2 linked regions of the Sus scrofa genome follow. The protein of the gene in region 2 interacts with the protein of the main gene of each other region in a pairwise test. Links are inferred from orthologs where the notes say so. Each region holds a gene or a part of one and is shown on either strand. Other genes may lie near its edges. The genes, in order: UBXN1 and PLAA.

Region 1 (12,264 bases), on a different chromosome or scaffold from region 2:
AAAGTTGTCACTTGTTTGATACCACAACTGACCTTTAAACAGGTCAACTTTGCCAAACACCTTGACTCTTATCTCTCACCTCTACATTTTTCTTCACTAATGTTTGCTGAGCGCCTACTCTGTGCTGCTGAATGCAAGGCCCAGGATCCGAGCCACATGTGCAACTACAGCTCAGGGCAATGCTGGATCCTTAACCCACCGAGCAAGACCAGGGATCAAACCAGAGTCCTATTCAGGTTCGTTATTGCCAAGCCACGATAGGAACTCCACAACAGCCCCCTTAAGAACCAGCCACCTCCCTCACCGGGCTCTTCACATCTGTCCTGGAAGACCTAAGCCTCCTCTTCCTCATCATCACACATCATTGTGTGGCCACCAGAGCTCCCCACTCTCTTTGCTCACCTCAGAGGCTTCCATCACGATGGAGGGGAAGCAGGTCTTTAGAGAGACAACCTGGACAGACACAGCAGGGGGCTTGGCCCAAACTGGAGGATGAGCCAGCAAGAGATCCGAGGGTGAGGAAGTACTAACCCGAACAGCCGGCTGACCTTCAACTCTGCCAATTTCTCCTCTCCCCTCCCAGCGAGTGCTGGGCAGCCTAGGACTTTCTGGATGCTGGGTGGGGCCTGGGCTATCTCCAGGCCAAGGCTCATCCTCATTCTCTGGCACAAAAGCCATGGGTACTGATACTTATGATGGTTGAACTCAGAGAAGAGAACCCCTGCTCAATGCACCCCACAGACTCCCTTTAATCTGCTTTGGAGCCTGGCCCCTTAATCACTTCTGAGGAGAGGAGGCTGACATGGCTAGGAGATTATGGGACCTCCAGGGGAGGGGACAATCCCAAGAGGTAGAATCGGAGATTTATTTCTACTCGCTAGCTGATGACACTGGGAAAGGCGGGGACGGCATCTGGATTAAAGCCCTGGAAGTGAAGAGCGTGGTTAATAGACTTGGAATTTCCTGATTCTTCCATTTACTGGATCTCCCAAATTGACATGTTTCTTTGTATCTTATTTAATAAATGTTTATATGGTGTTTGCTATTTGCCAGAAGCTATTTTATTTTTGTCTTTTTGCCATTTCGTGGGCTGCTCTCGCGGCATATGGAGGGTCCCAGGCTAGGGGTCCAATCAGAGCTGTAGCCACCAGCCTACATCCGAGCCGCGTCTGCAACCTACACCACAGCTCACAGCAACCCACTGAGCAAGGCCAGGGATCGAACCTGCAACCTCATGGTTCCTAGTCGGATTCCTTAACCACTGCGCCACAACGGGAACTCCAGAAACTGTTTTAAATGCTTTACATATGAACCTAATTATCCTAAGTTTATATTGTTATTAGCCTCATTTTCTGATGTAGAAACCAAGGCACAAAGAACTTCAATGACTTGCCCACAACTAAGAAGTGTTTTCTTCTCCAAACTCGCATTTGGGATGTTACGCAAAATCCAGTTTTCATGATTCAAAACAAAACAAAACAAACAAAAAACATGCTAAGGGAAGAGAAAAGTAATGTTTGTGTTGAACAAGAAAAATAAAACGAAATATATAAATAAAAAAATATGCTTTCCGCCACATGGTACACTAAGCTTTGAATTTTTGCTCAAGAGTTGAAGGGATTGACGTTTATAAGTATTTGGATGTCCATTATGTACTGTATTGTAAAAGCATGAGTTGTTGTAGGAAACTGCAGAGCACAGCCCTCTATCAAAGACATTGCGGAGCTGGGCAACTGTAAAACCCACAGTAACCACGAAGACACACATCCTCCCCTTCGCAATCCCACTCGGGATTTCACGACACTAAGCCCCCACGCTCGGTCTTGGGTGTCAACCCCTCCCGACCGGCTCGGCCTCCTCAGCTCAATCCAGTCTTCCCTCGCAGGCGTTGTGGATTTGAAATGTTTCCGCGGCCGGGCCTTCTCTAGCCCAGCTTCGTCTCTATGGTCCCCTGCCGAGGGGCGCTCTAGCCTGCGCCGGGGACGGTGAGACGTCGCAGCCGCCTTGCTGGGCTCCGGGCGGCTCCGGAGGGCGCCTCGCGGATCGCGCTGTCGGTCATGGAGCCCTTGCGCAAAGCGCTGATCGTGGGCGCAGTGCGGGGCGTGGGGGCTGGCGTGGGCTCTGCGCTGTTTGTCCTCGTGACCCCGGGAGAGCAGCAGAAGCAGGCGATACTAAAGGTGGGAGCAGGTGGGTAGGCGGGCAGAGAGCACCGCAGGGCTGGGGGCCCGGACCGCAACCCTCCCTTCCTCCCGGCAGGAGATACCGGAGCAGGACCCGCAGCGCAGGGACGAGGCAGCCAGGACCAAACAGCTACTGCTGGCCACTCTGCAGGAGGCAGCGGCCACACAAGAGAACGTGGCTTGGAGGAAGAACTGGATGAGCGGCGGCGGCGGCGGGAGGTCAGCCTGAGCCCGGACCTGCTCCCGTGGGCGCCGTGACCTCCGCTCCCACGCAGGAGTCCAAGGCAGCCTTTCTCCTTTGTGGGCCGGCAAGGAGTCCAGACCCAGATGCCACGCGCAGGCCTCTCCGGGTCCTGGGGAGCTGCTGCTGGGTGAGCACGTTACCCCCCGCCCCCCAAACCCTGTACTGACTGTGTTTTAACGTCTACGTTACGGGCCGGGGCGTCGGATGCGGCTTAACTGAAGGAACCAATAAATCATGTTCCTTCATCCAGAGAGTGACTCTGCAGTTTGGACGCCGGTAAAAGTCTAGAGTGTTTTGGGGGTCGGTGCTGCGAGCCCGAAAGACTGCAACTTCCGCCTGCCCCGCCCCCCATGTGAAGCTGAAGCCCAATAGGCAGAGCAACCACGTTTTCAAAAAACCACTCAGGTCATGTGGTCTGTGTGGAGTGTTCTTTGGGGATAACCAAGTGACATTCTTGAAATCATAGGTATCCTGGAAACTCGTGTGCAGTAAATGCCCGTAGAGGACACCTTGGGCTACTTTCCTTTGAATGAGGTTGGTGAGGGGAGGGGCTTTTAGTAATTAACTTGTCCCATGCTGCCGTCTGTGGTCTTTAACCCTTGGAGGCCCCACCCCCACCCCCACCCCGTGGTAGGACTAGTAAGAGGAGGGTGCTTGGAATCCGATCTCGTTTCAACTCCTGCGTGTCCTAAAACCTGAGCCTCAGTCCTGTGCCATAAAAGGTGCCATATCTTGCAGGTGGTTGTAAAGAAGGTGAATTTAGGAATGTGAAGTGCAGTGCCTGGCAGAGGGCAGCCTCTCCCTAAATGCAATGGGGTTGTCCTCCCTCCAGGTTTTCACTGCAGTGGTCGTCAAACTCTGAATTGGGTCATAGGATCTATTGGCGATGCCACTGAAGGGATGAGATAAAAGCTGTCAGTGGGGTGACAGCCCCATAGCCAGACCAACCAGTTCACTTCCCTTTTGTCTACCTTATGTCCTGTGGTTCCAAACAAGATTGGTGGTGGTGGTGGGGTGATGTTGGGGGGGGGGGGCAGCACCCTCGCTTTTATTAAATAAAGCTAGAACACTAAATAAAGCTTGGTGACACTGAGGTGTAAAGCCAGATGTGGGCATTGGTGCAGTTTTAAGTTACCTGATGGTGAAGTCATAAGTGGATGTATTTGTCAAGTGTGATCCTCACTTGTGGCCTCTTTCCCAGCCCAGGGGATGAGAGAAAAGAGGTCAGCAGCCATGTGAGGGAACACTAGGATCAGGTGATGGGAAGCAGCAAGAGGGGCTGTGTTGAAGGAACTTGGCAGTTTAGAGCCCGAGGCCTAGTCGGGCTCCCAGGTGGGTGTCTGTCTAGGTTCTACTACTTGCTACCTGTGCCGCTTCGGGCAAGCCTACACGTTGGTGTCCCAATCTGTAAAACGGGACCATTGGAGTTCTCTTGTGGCACCGTGGGTTGGGGATCTGGCATTGTCACTGCAGTGGCCCAGGGGTAACTGCTGTGGTTCAGGTTTGATCCCTGGCCTGGAAACTTCCACATACCCTGAACGTGGCCAAAAAGTAAAATAAAATAAAATGGGATAATGCACCACAACAGGAACTCCCTTTTTGGTTTGTTGTTCGTTTGTGTTCTGCTTTTTAGGGCTGCACCATATGGAAATTCCCAGGCTTGGGGTCAAATTGTAGCTGCAGTTGTTGGCTGACACAACTCATAGGAATGCCAGATCCTTAACCCACTGAGTGAGGCCAGGGATTGAACCCACAGCCCTACGGATACCAGTTGGGTTCATAACTGCTGAGCCACAACAGCAACTCAGAGATGCAGTTGTGAAAAGCATACTAATACACCTGTTTGTGAAAGGCCCTATTTTTTTTTTTTTTTTTTTTTTTTGTCTTTTTGCTTTTTCTAGGGCCACTTCCTGTGGCACATGGAGGTTCCCAGGCTAGGGGTCTAATCAGAGCTGTAGCCGCCTGCCTACACCAGGGCCATAGCCACACGGGATCCGAGCCGCGTCTGTGACCTACACCACAGCTCACAGCGACGCCGGATCCTTAACCCACTGAGCAAGGCCAGGGATCGAACCCGAAACCTCATGGCTCCTAGTCAGATTCATTAACCACTGTGCCAGGACGGGAACTCCAAGGCCCTATTTTTTTAAATTACCCCTTTCGGTAGCTAATACTTATTGGAGACTTATTAGGTGCCAAGCACTGTACTAAAGCACCTTGTGTCAGTATTATTTAACCCTCTACAACTCCAATTAACAGATACTATCATCTCTGCTTTACTAAAGAAGAAACTAGGCTTAATTATAGAAGGCGCGTCGCTAGTAAGGATTTCAGGCTTCGGCCCTGCCTTACCCACAGCAGCAAAAGGTGCTCCCCAGTGGACTCCCCATACTCCACCTCCCCCTCAACCTCTGCGCAACCTCTCAGACCTAGAGATTAGAAACCAGTTTCCCTTGGAAACATAAAATGAGGAATAGGGTCTATTCTAAATGTCTTCCTTCCTTCCTAGCCATTCAGGAAGGAGTCAGGCACATACAGAACTCAGAGGGTCTATTTATTAGGAAGATGTCAGTGCTTTATCAAAGATGGAAAAGTCAGAGAGGGATGGTGGGAAAAGGCCTCTCAGCTGGGACATTTCTTGGCCACAATGAGGACAGCAGAAGGCACAAGTCCTGAAGATGGAAGAAAACAGGTGTGAACCACAGCAATACCTGCTTCTTGCCTCCCCCAAGTTCCTGGCCTCGCACCATCTCCACAAGGTCCCTTCTCTTTGCACCTCCCCTTCCCTCCTCATGGATGCCTCCTATCCCCCAAATCCTGGTTTCTGGTGCCACGTGTCATACCCAGCTCCTGCAGAGGCCGCTCCATGTCAGCTTCTGAGAAGGCCCGCCGGGGGAAGCCACTGAGCAACTGCACAGGGTCCTGGCCCCCTCCTAGCTCCTCCCCACGGTGGAGCTCCACATAGAGCCTGACGGCCGCCAGCTGTTCCCGTGCCCGGAACGTCTGGGTCAGGGAAGTCCCATCTGGCAGCCTGACCTAGAGAGCAGGAGAGATGGTACTGTGAGCGTCAAAGCTGAGTAGGGGGCCCAGGTAAGGAGAAGAAGAGCAATGATGGCTTCTCTTCCTCTCTGAGACTGAACCAGCAAAATTACTATTTAAAGCATCTAAATGACCAACCACTGAGGTTCGGCTTTACTGAATGCTGGAGAGAGACTCCCGACTTATTCACAGTTTATGGAAAACAAGGACAAGATTATACCATATACCTGGACAGATCCCACAGCATGCAAACAGCTGTATAATAAACCAAATGAAAACATTATGAACAAATAAAAAGGTAAACTGCTGAATAAGAGACGGGTATGGATTTAAATAAGACTGGGGCGAGTGAAATTTGATACCGTTCCTAAGAGCAGAGGAGATAGGATTGCAAAAGTCATTTACAAAAAAGGGAGAGGTTTGGCAAAGGGGAACATAACTGAAAAAAGCTCCGGGCTGAGTTGGGTCCCTTAGAAACCAACGAAGGGGTCCCAGGAGCATGACAGGAATCAGAATCAGTACCTGGATGCGACACTGGTCATACTCCCGCTTCGTGGGAGGCTCCTGGCTGGGAGAGGCGGGAACAGGACCTGGCTCTGTCGTAGGTGGGGGTGGCTGAGAACCCACACTACCCCCATACTGGAGGACAAAGGAGATAAAACAATCAGGCACCAAGGCCACCCTTTCCTCCTCTGAAGCCAGAAAAGCTTCCTGACCCACCTACTTCATCATCCTCAGGCTCTTCCCAATCACCTACCTTCTTGGCTCTCTCTGCTTTGTCCCTTTCGATCTTTTCTCGGACTCTTTGTCTGGAACGCAGACAGGAACAAAGCAGGTCAGACACGGACAGAACAAATCCTGATTCCTTCCTCATCTCAGCCAACAGTCCCAGCACCCAGACCTGGCCGCTAACTCTTCAGCCTTTTCCCTCCGCCGCTCCTCAGCAGCCCGGCGCATCTCATCCTCCTGGAGCCGCTGTCGGGCAGCTGACAACTCCTGCCCTTGTCTCCTGCGCTGCCGTTCGCGTTCCAGGGCCTCCCGCTCCTCTCTCTCTTCACGTTCCCGCTGCTTCTGGGCCAGCAGCTCCAACATCCTGTGGCGCAGCAAGTTCAAGAGAAATGAATGTAAACTGGGAGTTTATGACGGCAGTCTCAGGAAAACAAAATCTGCGAACACGGTCCCAAAACAGATGGAAGACTCAAAGAGGAAAAAGCCAAGAAAGACAGAGGGAAGGCGGAAAGTTCGAGGTTCTTTGATCAGACTTGTGTACTGGGGAGAAGTGGGAGGTGACCCTCAGGAATGTGGGCTTGTTTCTCACACCTCTTAGTCTGTTCCTGTCTTTCCTCTTCACTCAACGGGGGTTTGCCTTCTCCGGCAGCAGACCCAGGTCCTGCAAAGAAACAATCAGTGTTATTACTCGTTCAGCCTCCTTCTCGGGCCCTCCTGAATAATCACGCTGTGTCCCTCAGTCAGGACCTTCGGGGCTACTTTGCTCCGAAGGGGTGGGTTCCCGTCCCAGGACATGTCCAAGGGGGGTCGCTAGTGGCTCGTCCACATCGGGGTCGTCTTCGTGCTCCATCAACCTGGCGGGGAAAGTCAGGAGGAAGGTCATAACGTTGAGACTGCCCCTCCCAGCCGCCCCCAGGCCCCTTGCACCCGGTCTCAGCTCTCACCAGTCCATCGCAGCCTCGATGCCCTGGTTCCCTGTGAGGGCCAGAGCCTTCTCCCTGGGGGCAGAAACACCGTGAATAGCGCCCACCAGCCATGGCGCTCATCAGGCTGGGGCGGAGAGCCTGAGGCCAGGCTGGGGCAAAGGCCTGGGCAGGTCCGCGACCCCCGCGGTCCCGCGTTAGGGGGCTCCCTTACGCGCGTCCCCTGGGGAAGCCCATCTCGATGAGACTCTCCAGAGCCGTCAGCTCCGCCATGACGCCGCCACCGCCGCTTCCGCGGGGACCTGGAGGGACGAGGAGGGTGGAGGGGGTCGGCGTGGTGCGCCCCCCGCCGGCGCGCAATCCCGCCTCCAAAGCCCCAGCCCGGGGCTCGCTTACTCACCGGCAGCGGCCCGGCCGCGGACACTGACGAGAAGAAAGCCCGGGGGAAGCGGAAGTGCCCGAATCTGTTTGGGTCACGTGGAGGCGGCCGTGGACGGGTGCCGCAGAGAGCCAGACCACGCGGGCCCGGCCCGGCCGCCCCCGCCCAGAGCGGACCCCGACCGGCGGCGCGTGGGAGTCGCGGACGGGAGGGGACGCCACCGCTCCACATCCTCAGCCGAGGCGCCTTGGCGGTGGTGGAGAGGAAGGATGATGCCCCCCTGAAACCCATGGGCCCATGAAGCCAGTTCCCGATACGACCCCTTAGCGAAACCGTTTGGAAAGTTATAGAGCAATGTCCATAGAAATGCATGCGCTCTTTGACCTGCTCATCCTCTGGGGGGAGTTGAGCCATCCTCCGCCCCCACTGCCAAAGCGATCTTTGCAAAACACAATATCTGATTAGATCCTGTCATCACCTCCCTGATTAAGACTTCTCCATGAGGCGTTCCCATCATGGCGCAGTGGTTAAGGAATCCGACTAGGAACCATGAGGTTGCAGGTTCGATCCCTGGCCTTGCTCAGTGGGTTAAGGATCCGGCATTGCTCTGAGCTGTGGTATGGGTCGCAGCCGCAGCTCGGATCCCAAGGTTGTGGTGGCTACAGCTCTGACTGGACCCCTAGCCTGGGAACCTCCATATGCCCAGGAGCGGCCCAAGAAATGGCAAAAAGACAAAAACAAAAAACAAAACAAAAAAAACCCACTTCTCCGTGAGAAGTTCCTGTTGTGGAGCCGGGGAAACGAACCTGACTGGTATCCATGAAGATGCCGTTCCGTTGGTGGGTTTAGGGTCTGGCATTGCTGTGAGCTGTGGTGTAGGTTGTGACTTGGATCTGGCGTGGCTGTGGCTGTGGCTGTGACCGGCAGCTACAGCTCCTATTTGACCTCTATCCTGGGAACCTCTATATGCCATGCCATGAGTTCGGCTCAGAAAAAGACTTCTCTGTGACACCCCAGTCTCCCAGGAGGAAACTTAAATGCCAGTAGTCTGGCAACCTCCTACCCGATTTTTTGTTTGTTTGTTTGTTTGTTTGTTAATGTCCCATTTGTAAAGCGAGGATAACCATAGCACGAACCTTAGGCACCAGACAAAACTGTACTGTGTAAATGTTGGTAGTTAGTATTGAGTTCATCCCCCATCACTTGAGGTTACCTAGTGCAGATTGCAAAACAGGCCTTCTAGTTCTTCCTGGCTTTTGCACATACCAGTTCTTCTGTCTGGGTTTTCCTGCCTCTTCTGTGGCAGGAAATAACCCCCAGTCACCTTTTGGACTGGACTCTGGGTTTGCTTTCTGAGGGAATCCTGCTTTGACCACCCCCTCTCCACCTCCTAGCTCCAGTATTTATTCCATTAACATTTAGCCCCCTGCTATGTAGTCTTGTTGACTGCTTAGCCCTCCATCGCCCCCTATGCTGTTAGGTCCCTTAAGTTAAAGGTAACTTTAAATATTTATTAGGAGGCAGAGTAATAATAAGTTACTGGTATCAATAATATATGCACCAGAGATTGTTATAGTTGATGTATATTTAGTCATCACAACAGTCCATGTGCTATAGAAACTATTATCGATCACAGGAAATAGGCACAGAAAGATCATTTACTGAAGGTCACAGAGCTAGTAAGGAGTAGCACGAGGATTCAGACCTACTGAGTGTGCATTCATGAGACTGCTATGCTATGCTGCCTCACTGTGGTGGAGCAAAGAGCATCAGCTTTGGAGTTGGGCAGTTTGGGCTGAAATCCCAACTCAGCGCCTTACTTATGGTTTCAAATCCGTTAGAACCTTAAACGTCTCATCTGTGAAAATGTGAAACCATCTTTTGGAATGATTTGTGATAGAGATCAAGTGAGAACGCATGTAAAACATATCTTTAAATAATGAGATAGTAGGCCCTCATTATTTGTAAATGAATAAATGCTGAGGAAATACAGGGTCAATTAAAACAATTTTTTTTTTCCTTTTTCTGTCTTTTTTGCCTTTTCTAGGGCCGCTTCTGCGGCATATGGAGGTTCCCAGGCTAGGGGTCTAATCAGAGCTGCGAGAGCCACAGCAACGCCAGATCTGAGCCGAGTCTGCAACCTACACCACAGCTCACAGCAACGCCGGGTCCTTAACCCACTGAGCAAGGCCAGGGATCGAACCCAAAACCTCATGGTTCCCAGTCGGATTCCCGCTGAGCCACGACGGGAACTCCCCCCCACCAAAAAAATTTTTTTTTTTCTTTTGGGGGCTGCACCCTTAACATCATGCAGAAGTTCCAGGGCCAGGAATCCGACCTGTGCCACAGCAGTGACAATGCCAGATCCTGTGTGTGTGTGTGTGTGTGCGTGCGCGTGCACGCACGCGTGCCCACACGCACACTTTTTAGGGCTGAACCCATGGCACATGGAGATTCCCAGGCTGGGGTTCAAATAGCTGCTGGCCTACACCACAGCCACAGCAACGCAGGATCCCTAACCCACTGAGCAAGGCTAGGGATCCAACCTGCGTATTCATGGATGCTAGTCAGACTTATTACCCACTGAGCCAGGACAGGAACTCTGGCAACGCCAGATCCTTAACCCACTGAGCCACCAAAGAACTCTAGGAATTAAATTTAAAAGTCACTAAGTATTCACTGCCATGTGATGAGTGTTCTAGGTAACAAATGTATTCTAAGTTTATTCCAGAGGGCCAATAATAAAATAATGATTAAATAGTATAGTACTGCCTCTCTCACCTCATTTCAGATGGGTACCCTATAGAAATACACAAATAAGGGAGTTCCCGTCGTGGTGCAGTGGTTAACGAATCCGACTAGGAACCATGAGGTTGCGGGTTCGGTCCCTGCCCTTGCTCAGTGGGTTGAGGATCCAGCGTTGCCTTGAGCTGTGGTGTAGGTTGCAGACGCGGCTCGGATCCTGTGTTGCTGTAGCTCTGGCGTAGGCCAGTGGCTACAGTTCGGATTGGACCCCTAGCCTGGGAACCTCCATATGCCGCAGGAGCGGCCCAAAGAAATAGCAAAAAGACAAAACAAACAAACAAACAAACAAACAAACACAAATAAGGATGTCCACAGCAAACGCTGAAGACAACTACAGTGTTCCAACAAAGAGGAATGGCTACTGCCAGTTTAGAAGCATCCTCCTCGGGGAAATTACGCAGCTTTTAACATAATTAAGGAGGTTGTTGTTTACCAACATGGAACATTGTCCATAATGTATTGAATGAAAGCAGAAAATACTGGCATTACATAGAGAAAAATTTGTTCTGATATAGGTACTTACCTCTTGAAGAGGAAGGGAATTTCATTTTATCCTCTTTACTATTATTTCAATTTGTATAAGTGTTTTTTTTTTTTGTCTTTTTTTTGTCTTGTCTAGGGCCGCACTCGCGGCATAGGGAGGTTCCCAGGCTAGAGGTCGAATCAGAGCTGTAGCCCCCAGCCTACGCCAGAGCCACAGAAACACCAGATCCGAGCTGCGTCTGCAACCTATACCACAGCTCACGGCCACGCCGGATCCTTAACCCACTGAGCAAGGCCAGGGATCGAACCGGCAACCTCATGGTTCCTAGTCAGATTCGTTAACCACTGAGCCATAATGAAAACTCCTGTATAAGTGTTACTTTTATAATTAAAAAAAAAGTTATAAGAGCAGTAAAAGTGAGCAATAAGGAGCAACTTAAAGACTTTTCTACATCCGGTTAATTTAAAAATAAACTCAGGAGTTTTTTCTGTGGCTCAAAGGGATAGTAGGTGCCTCAGGAGCACCAGGACACAGATTCAACACTCGGCCAGGCATAGGGGATTAAGGATCCGGTGTTCCCAACAGCTGCCTTGTAGGTTGAAATGGCAGCTGGGATCTGATGCCTGATCTGGGGCTCCGTATGCTGGAAAAAAAGAAAAAATAGGGAGTTCCCGTCATGGCGCAGTGGTTAACGAATCCGACTAGGAACCATGAGGTTGCGGGTTCGGTCCCTGGCCTTGCTCAGTGGGTTAAGGATCCGGCGTGGCCGTGAGCTGTGGTGTAGGTTGCAGACGCGGCTCGGATCCTGTGTTGCTGTAGCTCTGGCGTAGGCCAGTGGCTACAGTTCGGATTGGACCCCTAGCCTGGGAACCTCCATATGCCGCAGGAGCGGCCCAAAGAAATAGCAAAAAGACAAAACAAACAAACAAACAAACAAACAAACACAAATAAGGATGTCCACAGCAAACGCTGAAGACAACTACAGTGTTCCAACAAAGAGGAATGGCTACTGCCAGTTTAGAAGCATCCTCCTCGGGGAAATTACGCAGCTTTTAACATAATTAAGGAGGTTGTTGTTTACCAACATGGAACATTGTCCATAATGTATTGAATGAAAGCAGAAAATACTGGCATTACATAGAGAAAAATTTGTTCTGATATAGGTACTTACCTCTTGAAGAGGAAGGGAATTTCATTTTATCCTCTTTACTATTATTTCAATTTGTATAAGTGTTTTTTTTTTTGTCTTTTTTTTATCTTGTCTAGGGCCGCACTCGCGGCATAGGGAGGTTCCCAGGCTAGAGGTCGAATCAGAGCTGTAGCCCCCAGCCTACGCCAGAGCCACAGAAACACCAGATCCGAGCTGCGTCTGCAACCTATACCACAGCTCACGGCCACGCCGGATCCTTAACCCACTGAGCAAGGCCAGGGATCGAACCGGCAACCTCATGGTTCCTAGTCAGATTCGTTAACCACTGAGC
Region 2 (11,725 bases):
ATACTTGTCCCTGAAATAAGTATACCATGGTACTTTGGTATACTTTACACTTTGAGATCCAGAGTATTAAAAAAGACAGGTATCAAAGGGACAAACTGTACTAAAATTAAATTTTAATGCTTCATCATGGACATTCCTTTTTTTTTTTTTTTGAGGCTGAAGCTGTGGCAGATGGAAGTTCCCAGGCTAGGGGTTGAACTGGAGCCGTAGCCACAGGCCTACACCACAGCCACAACAAAGTGGGTTTCCAGCTGTGTCTGCAACCTACACCACAGCTCACAGCAACACCAGATCCTTAACCCACTGAGCGAGGCCAGAGATGGAACCAGCATCCTCACAGAACCTTGTCAGCTTTGTTAACACCTGAGCCACAAGGGGAATGCCCATCAAGGACATTCTTAAGGGCAGATGTCTTTTTTTTTTATTTTTTAAACAACAACCACGTGCCAGTGAAGAACACAATGACTACCTGAACAGTCTGATGTCACTGATTTGATCTGTGTACTAAGGAGCCAGCAGTTTTACCCACCACTGCTTTTATACCATAAATGTAAACATTAACATAGTATAAAAGTCAAATACCACCTTAGTGTCACAGTTTTGACCATATGGATATCCTGAAAGGATCTCAGAATCCCCAGGGGTAAATGGACCAGTAACATAGGGAATCACAGATATAACCAACACAAGATTTCTTTTGAGACAAAATCCTATGATTTTAAACTCAAAGATCCCCAACTCATTAAGCAGGCACTGCAGTATTTAAACTCATTTTTAATCTATACAGTCTCTCTCAGAGAATCCAATCAACCAAAAGGTATTAAATGAGTGACTTTTGAATACTTACTATATATGAGCTAAATTATTAAGAGATTTATTTAAAAAAAAAAAGATCCTTGTTCATGGGAAACAGCTCAAAGTCTTTAAAATTGTGAGACAGAGGCAAGAAGAACTTGCTTTCTCACTGTGATTATGGGTAATAATAAAAATTCTCAGAGTTCCTGTCATGGCTCATTGGTTAATCAATCCAACTAGGAACGATGAGGTTGTGGGTTCGATCCCTGGCCTTGCTCAGTGGGTTAAGGATCCGGTGTTGCCGTGAGGTGTGGTGTAGATTGCAGATTCAGCTTGGATCCCATGTTGCTGTGGCTCTGGTGTAGGCCGACAGCTATAACTCTGATTAGACCCCTAGCCTGGAACCTCCATATGCCACAGGCGTGGCCCTAGAAAAGACACACACACACACACACACACACACACACACACACACACACACACACACACACACACACACACATGAGAATAATGCTAAATGACTTAACGAAGCAAGCTTTTTCCCCCCCATCACTCTAATTATTCCAAAAGGTAAGCATGGTAGCATTTTTTACTTCTAGATACACTGAAATATTTACCCGGTTCATTCAGATGTTCCCTTCCAGGAAGCTGTTCAGCATTAATGTCCCCTAAGTCACCAGTTTTGGAATCAATGGTTGCTTGAGAGAGTTCTCTTTCAAAAGCCTTGATTTCCTCAGCATTTGCTGTCCGATCCTCTGATTCAGTAAACACTCTAATAATACCATCACTGTAAGGAAACACAAACTGATTTTAAGTTATTGCCACAGTGTATTAACATCATCACACTTGAATGATCCAGGGCAAAAATAATCTGTATTTGTGAATATGAGAAATGTTACTATGCATTTATTGCTGAGTATAGAACTATGCTGATTTCAGCACATACTATGCTCTGTTACTTTCTAAAATAGTGGAAAAAGACTAAGGAAAAGGTCTCTGGTAAAGAATATATACATTCTATATCTATACATATACATATATATATAACACACACATATATTTAACATAGTTTTCAATTCCAAATTAAGACCTACAGGTTTAGCATATACTTTTAAAGTCATTATTACCTAAGTATTATTGTATAAAGAAGGGTAGTGAACTATCTAATTTATAAAGGGGAGTTTCTGTTGTGGCTTAGCAGTAACAAACCCGAATAGCATCCATGAAGATGTAGGTCTGATCCCTGCCCTCGCTCAGTGGGTTAAGGATCCGGCTTTGCCATAAACTGTGGTGTAGGTCACAGACATGGCTTGGATCTGGTGTGGCTGTGGCTGTGGCACAGGCCAGGAGCTGAAGCTCTGATTCGACCCCTAGGCCTGGTAACTTTCATATGCTGCAGGTGTGGCCATAAAAAGCAAAAAAAAAAAAAAAAAAAAAAATTATAAAGGGCTCAAATACCCAACATAGGCTTAGAAAATTGTAGATGCTCAAAATCCATTCATTAGAAAAATAGGCCTATCTTTACTATGCCATTAACTAGCAATGTAACCCCAATCAAGGAAAAAAAAAAAAAAAAGTAAGCTTCACTTTCCAACCTCTCTTCTCAGAAAAATGACTTCTATGATTTCCATAATTTCTTTTTTCTAAATTTCAGGTTAGGGGAGGCAAATTAGTCCCTTTCAACTGTACTAATTCTACTCAACTCTACAGAAATCTTTCTTACTTAACTTTCCATTAATAGCTGTTTTACCCTTTCAATTCATTTATTCTTCTTTAAACAAACTTAGGGCGAAAATAACTAAATCAACTAACTGACCCCCAGCTCAGCCCAGAAGTAAAAGACATTCTCTTCTTTAGACTCTGTATCCCTTATGTCTGTTGCCCTCTTTTTCCTCTTGCCTCGATGTCAAAGTAGTCTATAATCCTTTCCTTTACCTGTTTCTTCTTTATCTGTCTCCTCTCATTTACCTTTTTCTATCATTTTCTATGAAAATGAGATGTCAAAAAAGTCACTAATAACATCTTTCAAAGCAAATCCAAAAGCTTTCCTAATGAAAATTCCTTAACCCCTCATGCATTTTCTGACACTAATCACAATCTCCCTCCAAAATCTTTTGCCATCTCTGAATTTCAACATCTGGATTACTTTTTCTGTTTGCCTACTGGTTTCTCTTTCTCTATGCACATTGTATCACAAGTTCAGTCTTCAGTTTTCTGTTCCTTGCCCCCATGTTTCTTTCCTCAGAGAAAAATGTCTTGTCGCTAGACTCTGGGAGTTTTGTGCCAGTCTTCAGTCTCAGTTGTTACACTAGCCTCTGGTCCAACTGCCCATGACCCACTGGCCCAGGAAGTCAGTGTAGCTTAACACCACAGGGACTCCAGGAAGTCATTATCTTCTGCATCAAACCAATTCTCCCACTTCTCCATTTTTATTAATGTGGACTTCTAATTACCAAAGTTTGAAGTTATCCTTCTTTCATCCCCTTTCTGACCACTTTCCCTCCGCATTAGCTCATTTTTTGGTCTCCTATCCATTAGTACTTCAGGGCCAGTATTTCCCAACTTTACACCTTATTACTAAAGTAGCTTACTAATTTGCTTTCCTTTCCACTGTCACCACTAGTTAAATCTAACCTACATACTTAATAATTCACAAGTTCTGCTTTAATCATATCATTTCCTGCTTAAGAGCTTCAACCCTATAATCCCAAACATTAAATCTAAAAAATGCCTGGCATTCCAGATTCCACATAATTAAGCCCCACCTTACCACTAGTATCCATTGTTCCTCAGCATTGGTCCTCTACCATTTTCCTTTGTCTCCCATTCACATCACTCTTGGTCCCGTGCCACCATTTTACTTGTGCCTGTACCTGTCCTTTTGACAAAAATGCTTATTGCTGTATTGAGTTGTTAACTTTCAAAACCCAGTTCAAATTTCTTCTTCTCTGGAAAGTTTTCCCACACCAATCCCTATCTTCCCTAATTTCTTTTGCATTCAGTGTTTCAACTGCACAACCTGTAGTTCAATACTATTGTAATATATTATATATCATTAGTGTGAAAGCTGTATACCTTCTATTATTTTGTTTGGTAATAGAAATGTGCTTGTGGTCTTCTCAATTCACCTGAAATTCCCAAACTCTCATCTCTGTGCACTCTTTTTTTTTTTTTTTTTTTGTCTTTTTGCCTTTTCTAGGGCCACTCCTGCAGCATATGGAGGTTCCCAGGTTAGGGGTCTAATCGGAGTTGTAGCCCCTGGAGCTGTAGCCACTGGCCTACGCCAGACCCACAGCAACGCAGGATCAGAGCCGCGTCTACAACCTACACCACAGCTCACAGCAACACCGGATCCTTAGCCCACCGAGCAAGGCCAGGGATTGAACCCGCAACCTCATGGTTCCTAGTTAGATTCGTTAATCACTGTGCCACGAAGGGAACTCCATCATCTCTGTGCACTCTTAACACCTACCAACAGCCTAGACATATATTATTGATTAACTGACTAGAATATAAATAAATACCTCGCACCAACCACAATGTCACCATTGTTTAGCACACAGCAACACCATATAGACTGAGCTGGAAGTCGGATTGTTTGAGCACATTCCCCATGCTTCCAGATTCTCAGTGATCTGTCTTCTCCTGTTGTCACAAAATCTAAAATTTAAGAATACAGGAAAAATTAGTTTGAATAAATGAAATTAAGCACATTTTTATACACTATCTTACTAAATAGGCATGCTGATTTTTTAAACCCCAAAATATTAAAAGATTACAATATAAAATTTTACATCATTGTCACTTATGCCATATACAACTTCAAAAATCACATTTTTATATATTTCACATTTACACACTATACTTTACACCAATAAATTATACAAACTCTTTCCTCAGATACCCAAGAACCTTTTACAAAACCACCAAACCTGAATTAATATAAGATGATCATAGTTTTCTCTTTTAGTAAAAAAGAAAGATACTTTATATGAAATAAAGTTTCATTGAAACAATGCTCAATACAAAATTTTAAATATGCAGTATCAGATAATCTCACCTTTACAATTTGGAAAGACAGATATGCTATAAATATAATTTGTATGACCATAAAATACTTCAAGACACTCGCCAGTGATCTGCCACTTTCTAATACTAGCATCATTTGCACAGGAGAGAAATTCTGTTTCACTCAAAATTGCCAAGCCTCTTACACAGTCTTCATGCCCTATATATATTAAAAAAAGAAAAAGAATAACATAAATCAGTAAAAATGGATCATTTGGTTGTTGGCTCTATGTATCTTGCTAACATTATAAAACAAACCAGTGATATTAAAAAGTGATTTTCAAGTTAGAGATATTCATTATTTTTTCCCATAGAAAAGCTTAGTAGCCAAAATTTGTATTTTAGCTTTGGCAATTTTTTTTTTTTTTAATTTTTGGCCACCCTGCGGCACATGGAATTCCCAGGCCAGGGATCAGATTGGAGCCATGTTTGTGACTTATGCCACAGCTACGGCAAGATCAGATCCTTTAACCTACTGTGCCGGGCTGGGGATCAAACCTATCCTGGTGCTAAAGAGACAGCTTTGGCAACATTTTCATCATCAGTCTTACCGTACAATACTGAGATTAATATTCATAAAGCAATAACAAAAGAAAAATTAAGATTAGAAAAAATATTTCAATTGTATAGGAGTCTGAAAATCTTCATCATAGAGAAGTAAACTTTATTAAGATATGAAAGAATAGGCTAAAAGACATAAATTTATGTAAAACCACAAAAATAGAGCTAAAACAAGAATTCAAGTTGCCTGCCTCTTCTTTACCTCTTCAGAGTCAAATAACTTCTCCTATCCTTTTGCTTTAACCAAAATGTAAACATAAAGCCAAACATTGCTGCTTTGTGAAGGTGAATATTTCAAAATTCATATAAATACAGGCATTAAAATAATAAATGAAAAAATGGTAAAATTAAAACTAATGACTATTGCTTCTTTTAAAAGGCAAGAATTTTTAAAATTAAAAACTTTTTGCATTATGTTAGTTGTTTAATATATATAAATATATATATATACATATATTCCTCATCAATAAATTTTTTTAAAACTCCAGAAAATTCAATTTTTTCCAATATTAATTGAGGCACTGTATGGCGATAGTTTTTTTTAAATGATAAAACATTCTCAGAAGCTTATGATCTAATAAAGGAGATCATAAGTTAAAACCTTCCCATGCTCAGTACTTCCTGATTGAGATTAACTATAACAGATTAATAAAAGCTTGACACAGGAGTTCCCATCGTGGCTCAGTGGTTAATGAACCCAACTGGTATCCATGAGGATGTGGCTTTGATCCCTGGCCTTGTTCAGTGGGTTAAGGATCCGGTGTTGCCATGAGCTGTGGTGTAGGTCACAGATGAGGCTTAGATCCTGCGTTGCTATGGCTGTGGTGTAGGCCGGCAGCTGTAGCTCTGATTAGACATCTAGCCTGGGAACCTCTGTATGTCGCAGGTGCAGCCCTAAAAAGACAAAAAACAAAACAAAACAAAAAAAACAACAAACTAAACAACTTGACACACATATTTTATGGTTGAAAGCAGACATAAGAGAGATATTTACTTATAACTCATTGCACATTTTCCATCTACAGGTGGCTCTCTTTTTTAGAGCCACACCTGCAGCATATGCAAGTTCCCAGGCCAGGGGCTGAATGGGAGCTGCAGAGGCCCCTACCACAGCAACAATGGATCCGAGCTGCTTCTGCAACCTATGTCGCAGCTCATGAAAATGTCAGATCCTTAACCCACTGAGCAAGGCCAGGGATCAAACCTGCATCGTCATGGATACTAGTTGGGTTCTTAACCCCCTGAGCTACAACAGTAACTCCCATCTACAGATAGTTTTATCTGCACAAAGGGACTTTTTGCAGTATTGTCCAGGGTGTTGATCAGCTTTTAAGGAGTAAGCAAAAGTGAGAAAAAATAAACAACAAAAAAAAAATCACACCAAAAGTGGAAGTGCTATACAAATTACCAATACCAATATTAGACAACAGATACCTCAGTGTAGAAGTTATTTAATATCTGAGTCATTAAGAGACTACCCATCAGAAACCACAACCTAAAGCCTAAAATGTGTTATTATTAAACAATGTATTTCAGTATTAATAAAAGCATGGATGTTTTCCTCCATATATGAAGATAACACTTCTGACCCACTCTTAAGACTTATGACTGCAAGTTTTAGGCTGAACTTGTTCAAATGACAACCAAAATATAACTGAGTACAAAAATTACATACATAAAATACATAGAAGCACATACACATACTATAGTTTATCAAATAGGTAATGATTAGTCCATATTTGGTTGTTTTATGATGGGTCTCATTACCTCTTTTAAAAAGATATTAAATACTGTCAGAAAATATACATCCACCCAAATTAAATGGCTCAAATATTATACACAGAATCTTAAAAAAAAGTCGATACAAATGAACTTATTTGAAGAATAGAAACAGACTGACAGAGTTTGAAAAACTTATGGTTACCGAAGAGGACAGGTGGGAGGTAGAGAGGGACAGACTGGGGGTTTGGGACTGAGGTATGTGGAATGACTGGCCAACAGGGATATGCATTATATATAGCACAGAGAACTCTATCCAATAGTCTGTGATAATCTATGTGGGAAAAGAATCTGAAAGAATGTATATGTGTATACGTATGACTGAATCCTTTGTTGTACAGCAGAAATTATCACCACCTTGTAAATCAAATAGATTTCAATAAAACTTTTTAAAAATGGCTCAAATACACTGATTTTTTCATACAACACCTTAAAACTGCTAAACTTTTGGGAAAAAAAATCATCTGAGCAAATGTGAAATGGAGAAATTATAAAAGCTGTCTACTCTGATCTTACCAGAAAAGGTCCTCTCACATCTTCCGGCTTTCCATAGTTTAATAGTCTTGTCTGCTGATCCAGTTAACATTAAGCCCTGTTCAGGTAAGATTTTTACTGCCCATACTGCAGCTGTATGACCCTGTGAGGAAAATGGCTATTACATTAAGATGCCAGAGAATCACTGTATTTAATTATTTTCTAGAATATTCACACAGAACTACGGTACCTGTAAGGTCATCATACATTTGTCATTCAGCCAGACTTTAGCAGTAGTGTCCCATGAGCCACTAAGTAATGTCCCAAATTTTCCAGATGAAAGACTACAAACTAAAGAGAAAAAAGGCATTAACACATTTTCATATAGAAAAATATTCAACCTTGGTAGTTACTGAAACGCCACAATTTTAAAAATGATTTTTGAAGTGACTATATTAGCCAAGAAAAACTTAACTCAATGGAAATGCAGAAGAGTTCAATAATCAAGGGCACAGACTCTGGTGCCAGACCGCCTAGCTATGTCCACTTATGAGCTGTCTGACCACAGGGATATTTATTCCTTAACATCAGATTTCTCATCTGTAAAATGAAGGAGCAGGATTAAATGGGCTGCACAATCCCGTCCAGTTCTAAGAAACTACACAGAAAGATAATGCAAATGATTTTAAAGCGCTATGTAGCTATTTAGGATCACTTTAGTTAAAATGACAAAAAAAACACAGCCAAGCTAAATGTTCAACAGCAATGGAATGGTTAACTAAAAGTTTTATTATCTTGATATAAAACTTACAGCTAAAAATTTTTAGGGAGTTCCCGTCGTGGTGCAGTGGTTAACGAATCCGACTAGGAACCATGAGGTTGCGGGTTCGATCCTTGGCCTTGCTCAGTGGGTTAAATAAAGATCAGGTGTTGCTGTGAGCTGTGGTGTAGGTCGCAAACGTGGCTTGGGTCCCGCATTGCTGTGGCTCTGGTGTAGGCCAGTGGCTACAGCTCCGATTGGACTCCTAGCCTGGGAACCTCCACATGCCGCAGGAGCGGCCCAAGAAATGGCAAAAAGACAAAAAAAAAAAAAAAAAAAAAAAAAAATTTTAGTATGAAAAATTATCTAAAAATATGGAAAAAAAGAGAGAGTTCTGATTAAAAATGGCAGATTGTCCACAGTAATGCTATAAGTGGTATAAATCTATAAGGACAAAGAAAACAGAAAACAACATCACTGACTTAGCAAAATGGAAGAGGTTTCAATTTAAACAACCACAGAAAAAGATTAGAAGAGAATAACTGGTCCCACAAAACTATGAGACCTGATATTCAGCCACTAGATTCCACGGAGAATGGGGATAAGCAGAGGATGTAAAAAATGAGAATAGTGATTCAAAGTTCGCACATGACACCATAACACGGTGAAACACTAGATCTCTTTTCTTAGCCTAGAGCGTCAGGAGAGTATATCCTCACTCCCTGCAAAAAGAAAACTGGAAGTTTATTCCCCAAAGGAACTGAAGCAGAGTTTCTAGACTAAGGCTACCAGACATAATAAAGGACTGGAATAAGAATCCCCAAGAAACACAAGGGGCATAAGTCTCCATCCTGTAATGCAGTACCTACAGCCCTCTGCTACCAAAATACCAGCAGCTAGACATATACTCCATCCATCTAAGTAAAAGGTGAGAGAATTCTTTTCTAGAGTATTGAATAATGCTAAAGAACTCCAGATGCAGACATTCGAGAGGTTTTTCCGTATACAAGTCAGACTATCAGATCATCCTCTAATGAAGCCTACCAATCATCAACCTCTACCTACATGAAAGAGAAAAACCAAAACAAAGAAACAGAAAAATAAGGGGGGAGGGTTTAGAGGGATCCATAAGAAATAAATCTGATTTCAGGAAGCAGGAAAAAAAAAAAATTCAATGTTATTTCCAAACAGATACTATATAAAAAAGGACTCATGAGACAACAAGAATAACAAATGCTAAAAACAGAAGAATCAAACTTAAAAAGAGGAAAGGATAGTTAAGAAAGTTAGAAAACAATTTCAGAATGTTCAACATCTAACTACGGGGATGCCAGAAAGAGAAAAATAGGGAGGAGGAGGGGAAAGATGGGGTAGAGAACACAGAAACAGTATGAGAAAGATTCCCAAAAGGGAAGGTAATGATTATCTAGACCAAATGAACCCACAAAAGTGCCCAGTGAAAGGTACTTTGAGAAACAGAGACAGAGATGCATCATGAAATTTTATAACATTAGAAACAGAAGATTCCAAAAGTTTGGGAGGGGACCAGAAAAGTGCCCCACGGGAAAGATGGAAAATCAAAACAGCATCAAACTTGTAAATAACACCTTACCCTAAAAGACAACAGAGCAATGTCTTCAAAATTCTGAGGTTAAATGGTTTTTATACAGTATTCTACAGCTAACTAAATTAAGTCAAATAAAAGCCTAGAATAAGGCCATTTTCTAATATGTAAATATAAAATATACTTAACCCCTACGTCACAGCTTTCTCAGAAGCTGCAACTGTTGTATTAAACTAATATGAAAGAGTTAAGAATGAAAAAAATATGGTATCTAGAAAATAGGGAAACCAGGATTGACATTAGCCCAGGGAGTACCCATCCAACAGGAGGCTAGAAGGTTACAAGAGAGAAGTTTCCAGAAAACACATGGGAGATATAAATATTTTAATGTATATGGCAGCCTTTAGTGATATTCATCAAATATTTTCTGCTCTTCATCTTCTAACCAAATGGTAAGAGTGAACTTCCCAAGTTCCTTTGGCTTTAGGCATGCTACATGACTTCTCCTGGCACTGAAAAATGAGCATAAATAATGTTACTTCCAGGTGGAAGCTTTAAGGACAGGTATACAATTAAGTCATGCTCCCTCCCCACTGCTCCAGTATCTGTGAAAGCACATGCTGCAACCAAGCTTCTGTCATTCAAATCCCAGACTGATTACAAGGAATAGAGCCCCTTGCTGCACTGGGCCTGTAAGATGCAAAGTAAACTTACTGCTTTAAGCCACTGTGATTCTGGAATTTTCTGTTGCCAAAATGTCACCTAAACTACCTGACTGATTCAGAAATTAGTAGCAAAAGCAAGGCACTGTTGAAGCAAAAATCTAAAATGCATGATAATGGCTTAAAAAGCAGGCAAGGAAGAGAATGGCATCATAGAACAGAAGACCAGGGATCCTTGGTAAGGAACATTTGGTAAAGTTGTTATCAGCCATAACTCAGGACATGATAAACCCATAGCCTAAAGAGGCTGGAAAATGGGACTTCAGTAATAGGCGTCACCTACTATTGGCCACATCTGGCTGGGCATTAAAAGAACGGGATGAGATCAAGAACTGGCAGGTTCAGAAAAGAAGATCCAAACTTAGGGATCTGCAGGGCTTAAGAGTCAACTGCAGGGCTTAAGAGTCAACTACTTCTCAAGATGTAATGAAAAATATAAACTCCAGAAGTCCTTTCAGCACTAAAAAACAATTGAAACCCAGCCATATAACAGGAACATGTCAAAAACATGACTATCCATCGTGCGTAGTGCCAAAACTTTCAAATGGATTTTAAAATTATTATTATTATTATTATTTTTCTTTTTGTCTTTTTAGGGCTGCACCCAGGCTAGGGGTTGAATCAGGGCTGCAGCTGCCGGCCTACGCCACAGCAAAGCTGGATCTGCGCTCTATACCACTGCTCAAGGTAACAATGGATCCTTAACCCACTGAGCGAGGCCAGTGATCGAACCCACGTCCTTTTGGACACTAGTTGGGTTCATTAACCACTGAGCCACGACAGGAACTCCTAAAAGTATTTTCAAAACCCAAGAAAAATAAGGTTGTTGCCATGAAAATAAATGCTTTCAATTGGAAAACTGGCTCAGGGAAAAGAACCTAAGGGTTCAACTTTCCAACTAAAGTCTGACAGGCACAAAGTTTCAGTAGTTAAATCTAGAGAGGCATGTAGGGAAAGAAGGGAGGAGAGAGGGGGAGAAATACAGCAAATCTAGACTAAACT

What was found.
Region 1: the proteins of PLAA (region 2) and UBXN1 interact in binary tests that used the Homo sapiens proteins (3 or more experiments, as listed by UniProt). The two-hybrid records come from large-scale screens. The link is inferred for Sus scrofa from reciprocal best matches to the Homo sapiens genes PLAA and UBXN1.

What each region holds. Positions count from the first base shown.
Region 1 is NC_010444.4:9,068,289-9,080,552, reverse strand, and holds UBXN1 (UBX domain-containing protein 1), read right to left. Parts: upstream 7,628-12,264; 5' UTR 7,516-7,627; intron 7,418-7,515; 5' UTR 7,389-7,417; coding exon 7,330-7,388; intron 7,191-7,329; coding exon 7,137-7,190; intron 7,047-7,136; coding exon 6,940-7,046; intron 6,854-6,939; coding exon 6,784-6,853; intron 6,557-6,783; coding exon 6,365-6,556; intron 6,273-6,364; coding exon 6,221-6,272; intron 6,103-6,220; coding exon 5,986-6,102; exon of another isoform or gene 5,461-5,985; coding exon 5,268-5,460; intron 5,097-5,267; coding exon 5,047-5,096; 3' UTR 4,958-5,046; downstream 1-4,957. Other genes in the region: ubiquinol-cytochrome-c reductase complex assembly factor 3, read left to right, coding at 2,058-2,177, 2,257-2,409.
Region 2 is NC_010443.5:196,189,857-196,201,581, reverse strand, and holds part of PLAA (phospholipase A-2-activating protein), read right to left. Parts: intron 8,029-11,725; coding exon 7,928-8,028; intron 7,841-7,927; coding exon 7,720-7,840; intron 5,024-7,719; coding exon 4,856-5,023; intron 4,456-4,855; coding exon 4,320-4,455; intron 1,583-4,319; coding exon 1,413-1,582; intron 1-1,412. UniProt on the Homo sapiens protein: Plays a role in protein ubiquitination, sorting and degradation through its association with VCP. Involved in ubiquitin-mediated membrane proteins trafficking to late endosomes in an ESCRT-dependent manner, and hence plays a role in synaptic vesicle recycling.